2 linked regions of the Stegostoma tigrinum genome follow. The main gene of each other region encodes a partner of the protein of the gene in region 2 in a complex. Links are inferred from orthologs where the notes say so. Each region holds a gene or a part of one and is shown on either strand. Other genes may lie near its edges.

Evidence for each region.
Region 1: the proteins of aagab (region 2) and ap1s3a are in contact, whole or in part, in a crystal structure (PDB 9DDT), measured with the Homo sapiens proteins. The link is inferred for Stegostoma tigrinum from reciprocal best matches to the Homo sapiens genes AAGAB and AP1S3. Residues at the interface, in NP_078942.3 of Homo sapiens: Asn51, Lys52, Tyr53, Tyr54, Glu108, Val109, Met110, Ile111, Gln128, Ile132, Gly135, Phe136, Glu137, Asp151, Phe153, Pro154, Glu155, Arg161, Gln164, Ala165, Asn167, Ala168, Asn169, Val170, Met176; in NP_001034658.1 of Homo sapiens: Arg10, Gln11, Lys13, Arg15, Gln37, Leu40, Ser41, Arg61, Tyr62, Ala63, Ser64, His85, Val88, Asp92, Phe95, Val98, Glu100, Leu101, Asp102, Ile104, Phe105, Asn106.

What each region holds. Positions count from the first base shown.
Region 1 is NC_081367.1:24,074,405-24,081,952, reverse strand, and holds the start of ap1s3a (AP-1 complex subunit sigma-3a), read left to right. Parts: upstream 1-4,457; 5' UTR 4,458-4,564; coding exon 4,565-4,567; intron 4,568-7,548. UniProt on the Homo sapiens protein: Subunit of clathrin-associated adaptor protein complex 1 that plays a role in protein sorting in the late-Golgi/trans-Golgi network (TGN) and/or endosomes.
Region 2 is NC_081386.1:30,744,823-30,752,567, reverse strand, and holds the start of aagab (alpha- and gamma-adaptin-binding protein p34), read right to left. Parts: upstream 3,036-7,745; 5' UTR 2,829-3,035; coding exon 2,762-2,828; intron 1-2,761. Other genes in the region: iqch (IQ motif-containing protein H), read left to right, coding at 3,352-3,393. UniProt on the Homo sapiens protein: May be involved in endocytic recycling of growth factor receptors such as EGFR.

The DNA of each region.
Region 1 (7,548 bases), on a different chromosome or scaffold from region 2:
TTAACTTTTCTCCAGTCCTCTTTAGTCCTGTGACTAAAGAGGAATCAAAGATTTCATATAAGGTCCCAGAAATTTTCTCTCTTACCTCCCTCAGCTTTCTGGATAGATCCCTTCAAGTCCTGGGGACTTGTTTACCTTAATGATTTTCAAAACACCCAACACCTCCTCCTCTTTTATATTTACGTACCCTAGAATATCAACATACCCTTGTCTAAACTTATGGTCCACCGTGGCCTTCTCCTTTGTGAATATCAATGCAGGGTATTCATTAAAGGGCACACTCACATCCTCTAACTCCATGCATAAATTTCTTCCTGTATCTTTGTGCACTTGCCCATTCCCTAGCTATATTCTTGCTGAATTTTCCATAAATCTGTTTGCCAATGTCATTTCATGGTCCCTTTTAGCCCTCTGAACTCCTTGTTTTAGTTCTTTACTGTTTTCTTTATATTCTTCAGGGTTCTTACAGACTAGGTCAATTACAGACCAGTAAGTCTCACGTCTGTTGTCTGCAAGGTGTTAGAAAGGATTCTGAGGGATAGGATTTATGACCATCTGGAAGAGCATGGCTTGATTAAATGCAGTCAACACGGTTTTGTGAGAGGCAAGTCATGCCTCACAAACCTTATCGAGTTCTTTGAGGATGTGAAAAGTTGATGAGGGTCGAGCTGTGGATGTGGTGTATATGGACTTCAGCAAGGCATTTGATAAGGTTCCCCATGGTAGGCTCATTCAGAAGGTCAGGAGGAATGGGACACAGGGGAACTTAGCTGTCTGGATACAGAATTGGCTGGCCAACAGAAGGCAGCGAGTGGTAGTAGAAGGAAAATATTCTGCCTGGAAGTCAGTGGTGAGTGGTGTTCCACAGAGCTCTGTCCTTGGGCCTCTACTGTTTGTAATTTTTATTAATGACTTGGATGAGGGGATTGAAGGATGGGTCAACAAGTTGGCAGACGACACGAAGGTTGGAGGTGTGGTTTACAGTATAGAGGGCTGTTGTAGGCTGCAGTGGGACATTGACAGGATGCAGAGATGGGCTGAGAGTTGGCAGATGGAGTTCAACCTGGATAAATGCGAGGTGATGCATTTTGGAAGGTCAAATTTGAAAGCTGAGTACAGGATTAAGGATAGGATTCTTGGCAGTGTGGAGGAACAGAGGGATCTTGGTGTGCAGATACATCGATCCCTTAAAATGGCCACCCAAGTGGACAGGGTTGTTAAGAAAGCATATGGTGTTTTGGCTTTCATTAGCAGGGGGATTGAGTTTAAGAGTCGTGAGATCTTGTTGCAGCTCTATAAAACTTTGGTTAGACCGCACTTGGAATTCAGAAGGTCAGTTCTGGTCGCCCTATTATAGGAAAGATGTGGATGCTTTGGAGAGGGTTCAGAGGAGGTTTCCCAGGATGCTGCCTGGACTGGAGGGCTTATCTTATGAAGAGAGGTTGACTGAGCTCGGACTTTTTTCATTGGAGAAAAGGAAGGAGGAGCGGGGACCTAATTGAGGTATACAAGATAATGAGAGGCATAGATAGAGTTGATAGCCAGAGACTGTTTCCCAGGGCAGAAATGGCTAACACAAGGGGTCATAGTGGTTGGAGGAAAGTATAGAGGGGATGTCAGAGGCGGGCTCTTTACACAGAGAGTTGTGAGAGCATGGAATGTGTTGCCAGCAGCAGTTGTGGAAGCAAGGTCATTGGGGACATTTAAGAGACTGCTGGACATGCATATGGTCACAGAAATTTGAGGGTGCATACATGAGGATCAATGGTCTGCACAACATCGTGGGCTGAAGGGCCTGTTCTGTGCTGTACTGTTCTATGTTCTATGTTCTATCTGACTTCAGTTTCCTAAACCTTAGGTATGCTTCCTTTTTGTTTCTGACTAAGCTCGTAATTTCTCTTGTCACCCAAGATTCCCAAATTGTGACAATCTTATCCTTAATTTTCACAGGAACATGTTGGTCCTGAACTTGAATCAACTGGCCTTTAAAAGATTCCTACATAACAGATGTAGATTTACCATCGAATAAGCACCCACAATCGACAGTCCCCAATTCCTGCTTAATATCATCACAGTTAGCATTTCCCCAGTTTAGTACTTTTACCCAAGGACTATTCTTATCCTTATCAATAAGTAACTTAAAACTAACGGAATTATGATTCCCAAAATGCACCCCAACTCGAACTTTGATCACCTGCCAGGTTCATTCTTCAATATCAGGTCTAAAATGGCCCCTTCCGTAGTTGGACTATTTACATATTGCTTCAAGAAACCCTCCTGGACTAGTCTAACTAACACCTATCCAAGCCTCTGGCACTAAGGGAGTCCCAGTCAATACATATACAAACTTAAAACCTCCCACTGCAACAACCCTGATGTCTTCACATTTCTCCATAATCGGTACACAATTTTGTTTCTTCACCCACTGGTTACAGACAGCATGTAGTACAACCCTGTCATAGTGATTGCACCCTTCCTATTTCTGAGCTCTACTCATATGGCCTCGTTGAATGAGCGCTCCAACGCCTCCTCTCTCAAAGTAGTTGTGATATTCTCTCGACTCAATACTGCAACTCCTCCACCTCTTTCACGCCCCTGTCAATCTCACCTGAAACATCCAAATCCTGGAACATTAAGCTACCAGTCTTGTCCCTCTCGTAATCAAATCTCTGAAATAACTACATAAATAACTATATGATAAGTTCATTTGCCTTACCTGTAATACATTTTACGCTAAAGCTAATGCACCTCAGACAGCCAGCCTCCACAATATCCTCTTCCTGCCTGTTCTTTTGCATAGCTTTACTCTCAAACTTCTTGGTTATTTCACTTGATGAATTACTGCCTTGATTTCCGCCCTGCTGCCTTACTAGTTTAAACCCTCTTGAGTGACAATACTGCCAAGTCTCCCTGGCAGTAAACTGGATCCCCTCCAGTTTAGGTGCAACCTGTCCTTCTTATATTGCTTCCACCTGCCCTGGAAGACATCCCAATGACCAACATATCAGAAGCCCTCTCTCCTACACCAGCCCATTCACCATATTTTTAACTGTACTCTCATCCTATTCCTAGTCTCACTGGCACATGGCACAGGGGATAATTCTGACATTACAACCCTAGAGATCCTGCTTTTCAACTTACTTCCTAACTTCCTGAACTCCCTTTTCAGAACCTTCCTGCCATTGTCATTAGTACCAATATGTGCCATGAGCACAGGCTGCTCGCTCTCCCTTTTGAGAATGTCCTGTATGCCCTCAGAGAATCCATGACCCTGGCATCAGGTGCTGGTGTAGGGGGGGAAACAACACACTATTGTGGGGAGTCCCTTTCGCTCCACAGAAGTGCCTATCTGTGCCCCTTAATTTGTGAACACCTTAATGGGAACACCAATGGCTTGCAAACTCAGCCAAATCGAGCTCCTGGGAAGTGTTTATTGTACCCCATTTTCAAAGTTTAGTAGACTACCACAATGTGAAGGATTCATAGGTTACACCTGTGTTGTTATACTTGCTTCCTTCTTTAGCTATGCCACCAACTATGTAATGGGAAAAGACTTTGCTCTTTCAATATTTGACTTGTTTGGAATTAGCAGAACTCGGACAGGCAAATGATCCCTTACATTCATGGCAGCTTGCCCTCATGTTTTGTTTCCATCACTTCCAGTGCACTGTTCTGTCTCCCAGAACTCAACAACCTTCACCATTTTGTGGGTAAAGTGGTGGAGCACAATGTCCCTTCAACTTTTCTCATCCTGATGGCCTGCCATCATTTTCAAAAAGAATGAAGCAGTAATTGTATTTTGGGCCCTGTACAAATCAAATGACTACATGCTAGACTGGTTAAAATGTTCATTTTTAAGGAATGCTTTAATGACTGAAAGAGAGGTAGAGAGAATCCGTAAGGGAATTGTCCAGCTTAGGATTTTGACAGTTGAAGGTAGAGCACTATTTAAAATCAGGTAGACTCAAGAAAACTGAATTGATGTAGTGTTGAGATCGAGATCTTAAGGGCACATGGATGAAAAAGATCATAGCAATTGAGCGAATAGATTCACTTGGAACAATTTGGAAACAGGAATGAAGTTAAGATTGATCAGGACATTGAGCAACTAAAATAATACAAAGGCATATAAATGTAATTAAGTACATTTATAAATAACATAGCATATAGAATATTTTACATTCATTTGCTTGACAGAAGTTTTTACTGAACTGTAGAATTTTAAAATCGTCATTACATAACTTGTCACACTCAAAGAATAACTAATAAATTAAATGGTAATATATTTTTTGCAAGCTTAATAAGATTTTGTCTGTCCTACATGTGTAACACATGAAATATTAATGGCTCAATGAACTGTACAATGAAACAATAAAGTAGTAAAGATTCTCTAAACTGCTGTTTTAATGCAGGTTAATATGTAATCCCAGGGCAGGGAGGAGCCTTAAACACACAGAATTGTGGGATAACTACTATAGGTTCCTGAATGCAAGCTTCCCAGGAAATGTTTTGTGTTCAGATTTTGAGGTTAAATCCATCCATCCATCTTTTGCTTTAAGGCAGAATGGTAAGTTTTTTTCTTAAAAAAATGCATTTTTTTTTCTTAGGAGTGTCTTAGATCTAATTACAGAGTAATGTTGGCAAGCGTAGATATCAGTTACTTCACCTGTTTCTGCAGGTGAAAATACAAGTACTCACCTGGCCTATATTGAAAAGAATAGTTTAGTAATATTTAGTTTAAAACACTTACTGTGCTTTAAATAAACAGATTAGGCAATATACTATGTAAAATATTAAAGGCTATAGTTTACAAGATTTTGAAGTCAATTATACAGGCAGTATTATAACTCTATTAGCTACCTTTGTATTTAACTAATCAGGTTTGAAGGCATTGCTGAGATTAGAGTGGAGATTTAGTTTATTTGAATCAAAATCATTACTCAAAACGATTTTATACTAATGGTAAATAACCCATAATGCAGCGGCTGTCTCATTTTAAAATAAAGACCAAATGCTGGAAATCTGAAACAAAAACAGAAAAGCATTTGATGGTTAAAAGTTAGAATTCCAAATGCAAACCTAGAATCTAAACAAAAGGGAGAAAAGCCTTTTTAGAAATGAGAAACCAGTCCAACAAAGTGATTTTTGTATGACAAGCAGGACATTTAAAACTCCATGAAAATGTAGGAAATAGCGAGTTTTGAGAAGATTTGTAGCTCAGGTTGAGTTTCTGGATGTGAGTTTGCTCGCTGAGCTGGAAGGTTAGTTTTCAGACGTTTCGTCACCTTTTTTTTCTATTTGAAAAAATATACTTTATTCATAGAATGTGCAAAAAATAAAACATTTATACACCTACCCAGTCATGCAAGCCACTCCGGGTTACCCAGGGGGTACGTACACCAACTAAAGGAAAAAACAAAAGAGAGAAAAAAAACACAAAGCAAAGAAACCGCCCCGGCAGTCGTCACCCCGCACAGTCCCAGTTGGCCCCCTGACCAGTTGGGGAAGGCGCCAGCTGGGCCCAGTTACCAGATAGGGCCCTTTTTTCTATTCTGGACGAGGGGTTTCATACCGTGGTCTTTCCCCACCGCGCCTTGGCGGTGGCTGCCCCAAGCTTTAGCGCGTCCCTCAGCACGTAGTCCTGGACCTTGGAGTGCGCCAGTCTGCAACACTCGGTCGGGGTCAGTTCTTTCAGCTGGCAGACCAAGTTGCGGGCAGACCAAAGAGCGTCTTTCACCGCATTGATGGTCCTCCAGGTGCAGTTGATGTTGGTCTCGGTGTGCGTCCCCGGAAACAGCCCGTAGAGCACGGAGTCCCGCGTCACAGAGCTGCTCGGGATGAACCTCGACAAATACCACTGCATCCCCCTCCAGACCTCCTGCGCATAGGCACACTCCAGAAGGAGGTGATCGACAGTCTCGTCCCCCCTGCAGCCACCTCAAGGGCAGCGAGCGGTGGTGCAGAGATTCTGGGCGTGCATAAAGGATCTCACTGGCAGAGCCCCTCTTACCGCCAGCCAAGCAATGTCCTTGTGCTTGTTTGAAAGTTCTGGCGATGAGGCATTCTGCCAAACGACTTTGGCAGTCTGCGTGGGGAACCACACGACGGGATCCACCCTCTCTTTTTCCCGAAAGGTCCCAAGGATACTACGTGCTGACCACTGCCTGACGGCCTTGTGGTCAAAGGTGTTTCCTTTCAAAAATTTCTCCACGAAGGACAGGTGGTACGGAACGGTCCAACTACTCGGAGCGTTCCGCGGCAACGAGGCCAGGCCCATCCTTCGCAACACCGGGGACAGGTAGAACCTCAGTAAGTAGTGACACTTGGTGTTTGCATACTGAGGATCTACGCACAGCTTGATGCAGCCGCACACAAAGGTAGCCGTCAGGGCGAGGGTGGCGTTCGGTACACCCTTTCCCCCATTTCCCAGGTCTTTGTACATGGTGTCTCTGCGGACCCGGTCCATCCTCGACCCCCAAATGAAATGGAAGATGGCCCGGGTGACCGCAGCGGCGCAGGTCCAGGGAATAGGCCAGGCCTGCGCCACATACAACAGTACCGAAAGCCCCTCGCACCTGACAACCAGGTTCTTACCCGCGATGGAGAGGGACCGGAGCGTCCAACTGCCCAGCTTCTGCTTCAATTTGGCGATACGCTCCTCCCAAGTCTTAGTGCATGCCCCAGCTCCACCAAACCAAACACCCAGCACCTTCTGGTAGTCTGTCCTGACGGTGAAGGGGATGAAGGAGCGGTCATCCCAGTTCCCGAAGAACATGACCTCGCTCTTACCCCTATTGACTTTGGCACCCGAGGCCAGTTCAAACTGGCCGCAGATGTCCAATAGTCTACTCACCGACTGACGATCGGTGCAGAAGACGGCGACATCGTCCATGTACAGGGAGGTCTTGACCTGAAGGCCTCCGCTGCCTGGGATAGTCACGCCCTTCAGGCTCACGTCCTTCCTGATGGAGGCGGCGAAGGGCTCCACACAGCACACGAACAAGGCAGGAGAGAGCGGGCAGCGCTGCCTGACTCCAGATCTAACAGGAAAACTGTCTGATTCCCACCCGTTGATCGGGACTGCGCTAACGATGTTGGCGTAGAGCAGCTGGATCCAATTGCGGATGCCCTCCCCGAACCCCAATTTGGAGAGGACGTCCCTCATGTAAGCATGAGAGACCCTGTCGAAGGCCTTCTCCTGGTCCAGGCTGACGAGGCAGGTGTCCACCCGCCTGTCCTGTACGTAGGCGATCGTATCCCTGATGAGCGCGAGGCTCTCAGCGATCTTCCTGCCTGGCACAGCACAGGTTTGGTCAGGGTGAATCACTGACTCCAGGACAGACCTGACCCGGTTGGCAATGAACTTGGCCAGGATTTTATAGTCCATGTTCAAAAGTGAAATAGGACGCCAATTCTTAATTTCTTCCCTCTCCCCCTTCCTCTTGTAAATGAGGGTGATGATGCCCTTCCTCATGGACTTGCACATTTCCCCTGCCCGAAGCGCACTATCGTACACCTCCAGCAGGTCCTGGCCGACCAGGCCCCACA
Region 2 (7,745 bases):
GGGGAAAACCAAAGCCACTGTCGTCTGTATTTGGAGGAAGTCACAGACTCAAAAAAACTTTGTTTCTCACCCCATAGATGCTGCCTGACCTGGTGAGTTTCTTCAGCACTTTCTGTTTTTATTTCAGCTATCCAGCAAATTACTTTGCTTTTATATGTCTTCTGTCTCCACGACAAACTGCTCCCTAACTACCAACTCCATCCCTCCCCCCAGCAAACAGGAGAGTGAACTAGGCAGTTTGCAATATTAGTATCACACCTGACGTTAAGCTTCCAACCACATACCCATGGAATCACTCAGGGCACTTATTACTATCTCCATAGCACGGTTCGGCATCAACTCCGTCTTAGCTCATTGGCCACTGAAGCCTCCACCCCTACCGTTGTTATCTCTAGAGCTGGCTATTTCTTTGTACATCTGACCAGCCCTCTAAGTTTCACCTTCCCTGAAACGGAGTTCCTTTTAAAGTCCATTTTTCTTAAGTACACATTAAACTATGCCGGCTCCCACCAGTACTGCATCATTTCAATTGTAAATACTGGCCAGCGCACCGTCTTTTAAAATGCAGTTGCTCCAACACATCTTTTGCATCTACTCGAGGGCAAATGGGGTCTCAGCTAAGCAGCTCTCTCTCAAGGCTCTACATGGAGCGTCAGCCCAGGTTATTATACACAGAAGTGGAACAGATTCAATGTAATTCAATTGGGGGGGTTAATATAAATGGGGAATGGAGTGACCCGCCCCCATCCCATGGTAAGAGGCCTCCCACATCACCATCCCAGCGCCGGTCATACCGAGGCCGCCTCTCAGCTTTTGACTGGGGGTTAAAATAGTATCAGAGATAATGGGAACTGCAGATGCTGGAGATTCCAAGATAATAAAATGTGAGGCTGGATGAACACAGCAGGCCAAGCAGCATCTCAGGAGCACAAAAGCTGACGTTTCGGGCCTAGACCCTTCATCAGAGAGGGGGATGGGGGGAGGGAACTGGAATAAATATGGAGAGAGGGGGAGGCGGACCGAAGATGGAGAGTAAAGAAGATAGGTGGAGAGGGTGTAGGTGGGGAGGTAGGGAGGGGATAGGTCAGTCCAGGGAAGACGGACAGGTCAAGGAGGTGGGATGAGGTTAGTAGGTAGCTGGGGGTGCGGCTTGGGGTGGGAGGAAGGGATGGGTGAGAGGAAGAACCGGTTAGGGAGGCAGAGACAGGTTGGACTGGTTTTGGGATGCAGTGGGTAGAGGGGAAGAGCTGGGCTGGTTGTGTGGTGCAGTGGGGGGAGGGGATGAACTGGGCTGGTTGAGGGATGCAGTGGGGGAAGGGGAGATTTTGAAACTGGTGAAGTCCACATTGATACCATATGGCTGCAGGGTTCCCAGGCGGAATATGAGTTGCTGTTCCTGCAACCTTCGGGTGGCATCATTGTGGCAGTGCAGGAGGCCCATGATGGACATGTCATCAAGAGAATGGGAGGGGGAGTGGATGCACCTCCCAGTCGCAAACCATTTCCACTGCACCTCCCAGTCGCAAACCATTTCCACCCGGTGATTGAGAACGCCCTTGACCGTGTCTCCCGCATTTCCCGCGACACATCCCTCACACCCCGCCCCCGCCACAACCGCCCCAAGAGGATCCCCCTCGTTCTCACACACCACCCTACCAACCTCCGGATACAACGCATTATCCTCCGACACTTCCGCCATTTACAATCCGACCCCACCACCCAAGACATTTTTCCATCCCCACCCCTGTCTGCTTTCCGGAGAGACCACTCTCTCCGTGACTCCCTTGTTCGCTCCACACTGCCCTCCAACCCCACCACACCCGGCACCTTCCCCTGCAACCGCAGGAAATGCTACACTTGTCCCCACACCTCCTCCCTCACCCCCATCCCAGGCCCCAAGATGACATTCCACATTAAGCAGAGGTTCACCTGCACATCTGCCAATGTGGTATACTGCATCCACTGTACCCGGTGCGGCTTTCTCTACATTGGGGAAACCAAGCGGAGGCTTGGGGACCGCTTTGCAGAACACCTCCGCTCAGTTCGCAACAAACAACTGCACCTCCCAGTCGCAAACCATTTCCACTCCCCCTCCCATTCTCTTGATGACATGTCCATCATGGGCCTCCTGCACTGCCACAATGATGCCACCCGAAGGTTGCAGGAACAGCAACTCATATTCCGCCTGGGAACCCTGCAGCCATATGGTATCAATGTGGACTTCACCAGTTTCAAAATCTCCCCTTCCCCCACTGCATCCCTCAACCAGCCCAGTTCATCCCCTCCCCCCACTGCACCACACAACCAGCCCAGCTCTTCCCCTCTACCCACTGCATCCCAAAACCAGTCCAACCTGTCTCTGCCTCCCTAACCTGTTCTTCCTCTCACCCATCCCTTCCTCCCACCCCAAGCCGCACCCCCATCTACCTACTAACCTCATCCCACCTCCTTGACCTGTCCGTCTTCCCTGGACTGACCTATCCCCTCCCTACCTCCCCACCTATACTCTCTCCACCTATCTTCTTTACTCTCCATCTTCGGTCCGCCTCCCCCTCCCCCCATCCCCCTCTCTGATGAAGGGTCTAGGCCCGAAACGTCAGCTTTTGTGCTCCTGAGATGCTGCTTGGCCTGCTGTGTTCATCCAGCCTCACATTTTATTATCTCAGCTTTTGACTGTCGGGATGTCAGGCCTCCTCCATCCCGGGGAGGCAAAGTGCACGGGAGGCCACGTTACCTTCCCAGCCTTGGTACTTCCACTCACCTTTCACTAGCGTCTCCTCCACAAAACCCGGGCAGCAGCTGACGAGCAAAACGCTGGGAACCTTCATCCCGACTCGGCTCGGCCCAGTCCGACCCTGAACTCTGACCTCTCACCCGAACAGCCGCCGGTGTCAAAGACGCCTTTCACTTCGTACTGGAACTTGCCCTTTCCCCTCCCCTCCAAACCGCACCATACAGGAGATACTATCTAAGTCTGGCACGTCTAATGCCACATTTTACTCCTGCTGGAGCCTCGGTTTTCAATCTTTTCGGCCTCGGGGTGTGGAATGTACCATTGTGCTGGGGGGGGTTTCAACGCTGGCTTTCATCGCTTACAAGTGTGAGCAAGAAAAAAAGTCAAGGAGTGACGAGGTATTTCAGAACATTGTAGAGGTTGTATCTTGTTAGAACAATGGATTGCTGGAGCTGAGAATGAGTAACTTTCTATTCACCGTTAAGTTAGTAATTTCCCTATTTTCATATGGTAGAGGCTGTGTTCAGTTGCCATGGGAACCCCAGGAGGGCCAGGTGGATGACAACAGGCAATGGACGGATGGTGAGAGCTGGCAGAAACTGAACTGTCTCCACAACATGGCAAACAGCAACACTGACGTGGGACATGTATTGGTCAAGGTACTTAAAAGGAGTAACGTTTATTTCTTTTAAATGAACCAAAGCCTTCATATGCCAATTAAACTGAATGTTTCAGCAACAAAGACAGAAACAGCTGGAGAAACTCAGCAGGGTCTGGCAGCATCTTTGGACAGAAAGCAGAATTAACCTTTCGTGTTCAGTGACCTTTCTTCAGGATAGGCTGAATGTTTCATTACCTGGAAGCATAGACTCATTGGCAGTTTTCAAAGGGGCGTTGTGAGGTAAAAGGATTGCATTTCTGTAGCACCCCCAAGACCACAGCATATCTTCAAGCATTTTAAAGCCAGTGAATCAACTGTTGAAGTGCAGTTACTTCTAACATGTGGTAGCCAGTTTGCTCACATTGATCTCCGACAAATGGTGATGAAATAATAGAAACAAAAATTGCTGGAGAAATTTGGCTAGTATGGCAGCAGCCGTGGAGAGAGAAACAAAGTTGAAGTCTTGTACCCAGTTCTGAAGAAGGGTTACTGAACTTGAAATGTTAAACTCTGCAGGTCTGGCTGCATCTGAGGAGAGAAAGCAGAGTTTTGCCAGCAATTTCTCTTTTTGCTTCCAATTTCCTGCGCCAATTCTTTGTTTTATTTTAGCAATGAGATAATGAAAAGTTAATCTGTTTTACTGAAGAAGTCATATCTAAGTCAAAAGATTAACTCTGCTTCTGTCACCACAGACACTGCCAGACCTACTGAGTTTCTCCAGGCTTTTCTGTTTTTGCCATAGGAAAAGAATGGGTTGAAAGGTAGATATTGGACAGGGCATTGGGAGAGTTTGTGTTCTACACAATAGTGCAATAGGATCTTTTACACCTGTCTGGGATGGAACGTTTAATGTGTTTTTCTGAAGTATCACTCCTCTAATTATACAGCACTTCCTTGGTACAGCACAGGAGTGTTATCCTTGAATTTTGTATTTAAGCCCTGCTGCAGGATAAAATCTTCTGACTAAGTAAGAGCTGATCCAATTCAATGATAGTCTTCGAGGGAACTGGATAAATACTTTAATAGGAAAATACAAGACAAAAATATGTGAAAAAGCTGGAAGGTTGGAACTAACCAAATAACAAGTACTGGCAAAACGAGCTGAATGGTTCCTTTCTATGCTGTAACATTCTGTGTTATTGACATTGTGTATGGACCAGAGGATTTCAGATTTAAGTACACAGGATAGGCAGTTTTATCATTAATAGTGCATTATACAATGTATTATTTAATATCAGTCAGTTTCCAGTATTTTTACACATTGGAAATGATCACAAATTGTGTTCAGTTGAAGGGGAACGTAGGATTATAGGGCAGGACCTCAGCATGCAGCTGCAATTCAGTTGCCAATATAAAATTAATATTTGTTCTTTATATTTTAATTTTTTTTGTGTAGTATTACTTAAAAATATTTATCTGTTGGGGAGATGAAGACTAACTGCCTTAATCAGGTGAAAGATGGGACACTTACAAAGAGGAAAAGATTAGTGAAGGTGTATGTCGGCCCCAAACAATTAGAAATAAATGCAATTATAATAGGAAATAAAGAAATAGCAAGTGAATCAAACACATCGAAAATCTGCCCTACTGCAGTTGTGCCGGACATTGGTGAGAGTACACGTGGTGTTTTGTGTAGTTTTGCTCTCTCTACCAAAGAGAGGGTCTACTGACCATGGAGGGAATTTAGCCAAGGTTTACCAGGCTGCATTGGGGATGGCAGGACTGCAATATGAGAAGAGATTGATTTGACTGGGCTTGTGTTCACTTGAGTTTAGAAGCATGAGAGGGTATCTTATTGAAACATATAAAATTCTAACAGAGCTGGACAGACTAGTTGCAGGAACGGTGTCCTTGGCTGGGGCATCCAAAACCGGGGGTTACAGTCTCAGGATATAATGTAAGACTGAGATGGAGCAATATTTCTTCAGTCAATGCATGGTCAGCCTCAGAAGACTGAGAGGCCTGGATGCTGTGCATACTCAAGATAGAAACTGATCTTTCTTTTAGATATTAAAGATGGAAAGGTTTATTGAGAGAAAGTGGTAAAATAGAGAATCAGCCATGGTCTTATTGAAGGATGGTGCACGCCCAAAGTGCCAAATGGACTACTTCTGATCCTAGCTTCTATAATTTAGCCCCTATTTTAAAGCTTTTCCTTATTTTTATTTAGTACTTTGGCATAATTACTGTAATTCATGTTTCAGGGAAACTGAGTAGTTGGTGGGATGTAACCTAAAGATGTTCAGAAAATAAAATATTATATGTTTGGATTTTTGCTTGGTAAATGTCACATTTATTATTTTAATCAGCTACATCTGCAGTCACTCTGATGAAAGATGTTTAAACATTATATTTTGACTTCCAGAAGTTGTCGGACAAAGTACCTCACAAAAGGTATTGGAGGTAGTACAACAGCATTGTCAGAGATTTGGCTAATGGTAAAGAAGCAGTTAGTGGGGATAAGGGATTCTTTTTCGTGTTGGTGACTTGTAATATCTGGGGTTTTATGGATATCAATGCTGTGACTGTTACAATATATTAATGACTTGAGGAAGGAAGTGAATGTACTGCAGCCAAATTTGCAGACAGCACAAAATAGGTGGTAACTCAGGTTACAACGGGTACACAAACGATACAAGAGAGGTGTTGATCGGTCAAGTAAATGGGCAAAAATTTAGCAGTTGGAGGATAATGTGTGTACGTGTGAAGTTCATTTTAGAAGGGAGAACAAAGAGCATAATATTATTTAAATGGAAAGAGAAAAAAACACTGAAAGCTGCAACACAAAGGGACTCGGCAAGACTGGTTCATTAAACACAGAAAACTAGCACACAGATAGTAGGGGTCAGAGATAATGGGAACTGCAGATGCTGGAGAATCTGAGATAACAAAGTGTGAGCTGGCTGAACATAGCAGGCCCAAAACGTCAGCTTTTGTGCTCCCTAGATGCTGCTTGGCCTGCTATATTCATCCAGCTCCACACTTTGTTGACACAGATAGTAGGAACTGCCGATGCTGGAGTCTGAGCCAACAAGGTATAGAGCTGGATGAACACAGCAGGCCAGGCAGCATCAGAGGAACAGAGAGCTAATGGTTCAGGTCTGGACCCTTCTTCAAAAAGGTCTTGATTTTCTGAAGAAGGGTCCAGACCTGAAGCATCAGCTTTCCTTCTCCTCTGCTGCCTGGCTTGCTGTGTGCATCCAACTCTACACCCTGTTATCTTAAACTAACACACAGGTGCAGCAGGTAATTCGGAAGGCTTGTGGAATTTTGGCCATTATTTCAAGGGGTTTGGTGTGTAAGAGTCTTACTGCATGTTTACCAGTGAGACCACATCTGGACTACTGTGAGCAGTTTTGGTTCCCTCATTTAAGAAAATATACTATTGGAAGCAGTTCAGAGAACGTCCACTAGGATGATCCGATATGGAGGGATTGTCTTATGACCAAAGGCTAAACGGGTTGAGACTTTACTCACTGGAGTTTAGAATGAGAGATGATCTCATTGAAATAAATGGGATTCTTAAGGGGCTTGACAGGGTAAATGTTGAGAGGATGTATTCTCTCTTGGGAGGAATTTCTTATCTCAGTGGGTAGTGAGTTTTTGGAACTCCTTGTCACGGAGGGCTGTGAGGCAGAGTCCTCGTGTATATTTCAGGCTGAGATATATAGATAGCTAGATTTTTGATCAGTTGGGGAATCAAGGGCAGAAAAATGGACATGAGTGATGGATCAACCACAATCCTATTAAATGGCAGAGCAGGCTTGAAGGGCTGAATAGCCTACTCCTTTTCCTTACGGTATTTCAAAAGGAAATCAGATAAACACTTCAAGTGAAAAGTTTTACAGGGTTATGGGGAAATTGAGACCAGTGGGACTAATTCATAAGTTTTAAAGAATGGTACAGCATGATGAGTCAAATACCCTTTTTCTGTGTAGTATCATTCTATGATTCTATATATTTCCTGGCCAATGTTTGTCTCCTTTTGAAATCCCAAAACTAAACCCCAGAAATTTTCAGGTCATTATCATATTGCTGTTTGAGGGGGAAATTTAGGTCTCAATAGCTCGCCTTGATATGTATAAAATGGATGCTGTTAAGAAAGCTGCCTGCAATTGATATGGGGATGAGTTTAGGCCAACTGTTCTTGAGAGTCACAGTACTAAATTGATGTAAGCTGGCACAGTTTGAGGTTAATTCAAGGCTAGTTGTTAAATGATGTCTGTTTGGATTGGCAACTGCTTTTAAATCCCAACATCCTTGTCTTAGATCAAGCCCATGTTATTAAAGCCAAAGAAAACAGCAAGGAATTACTATCTTTTTCTTTATATATTTTAAATGTGCATGTTG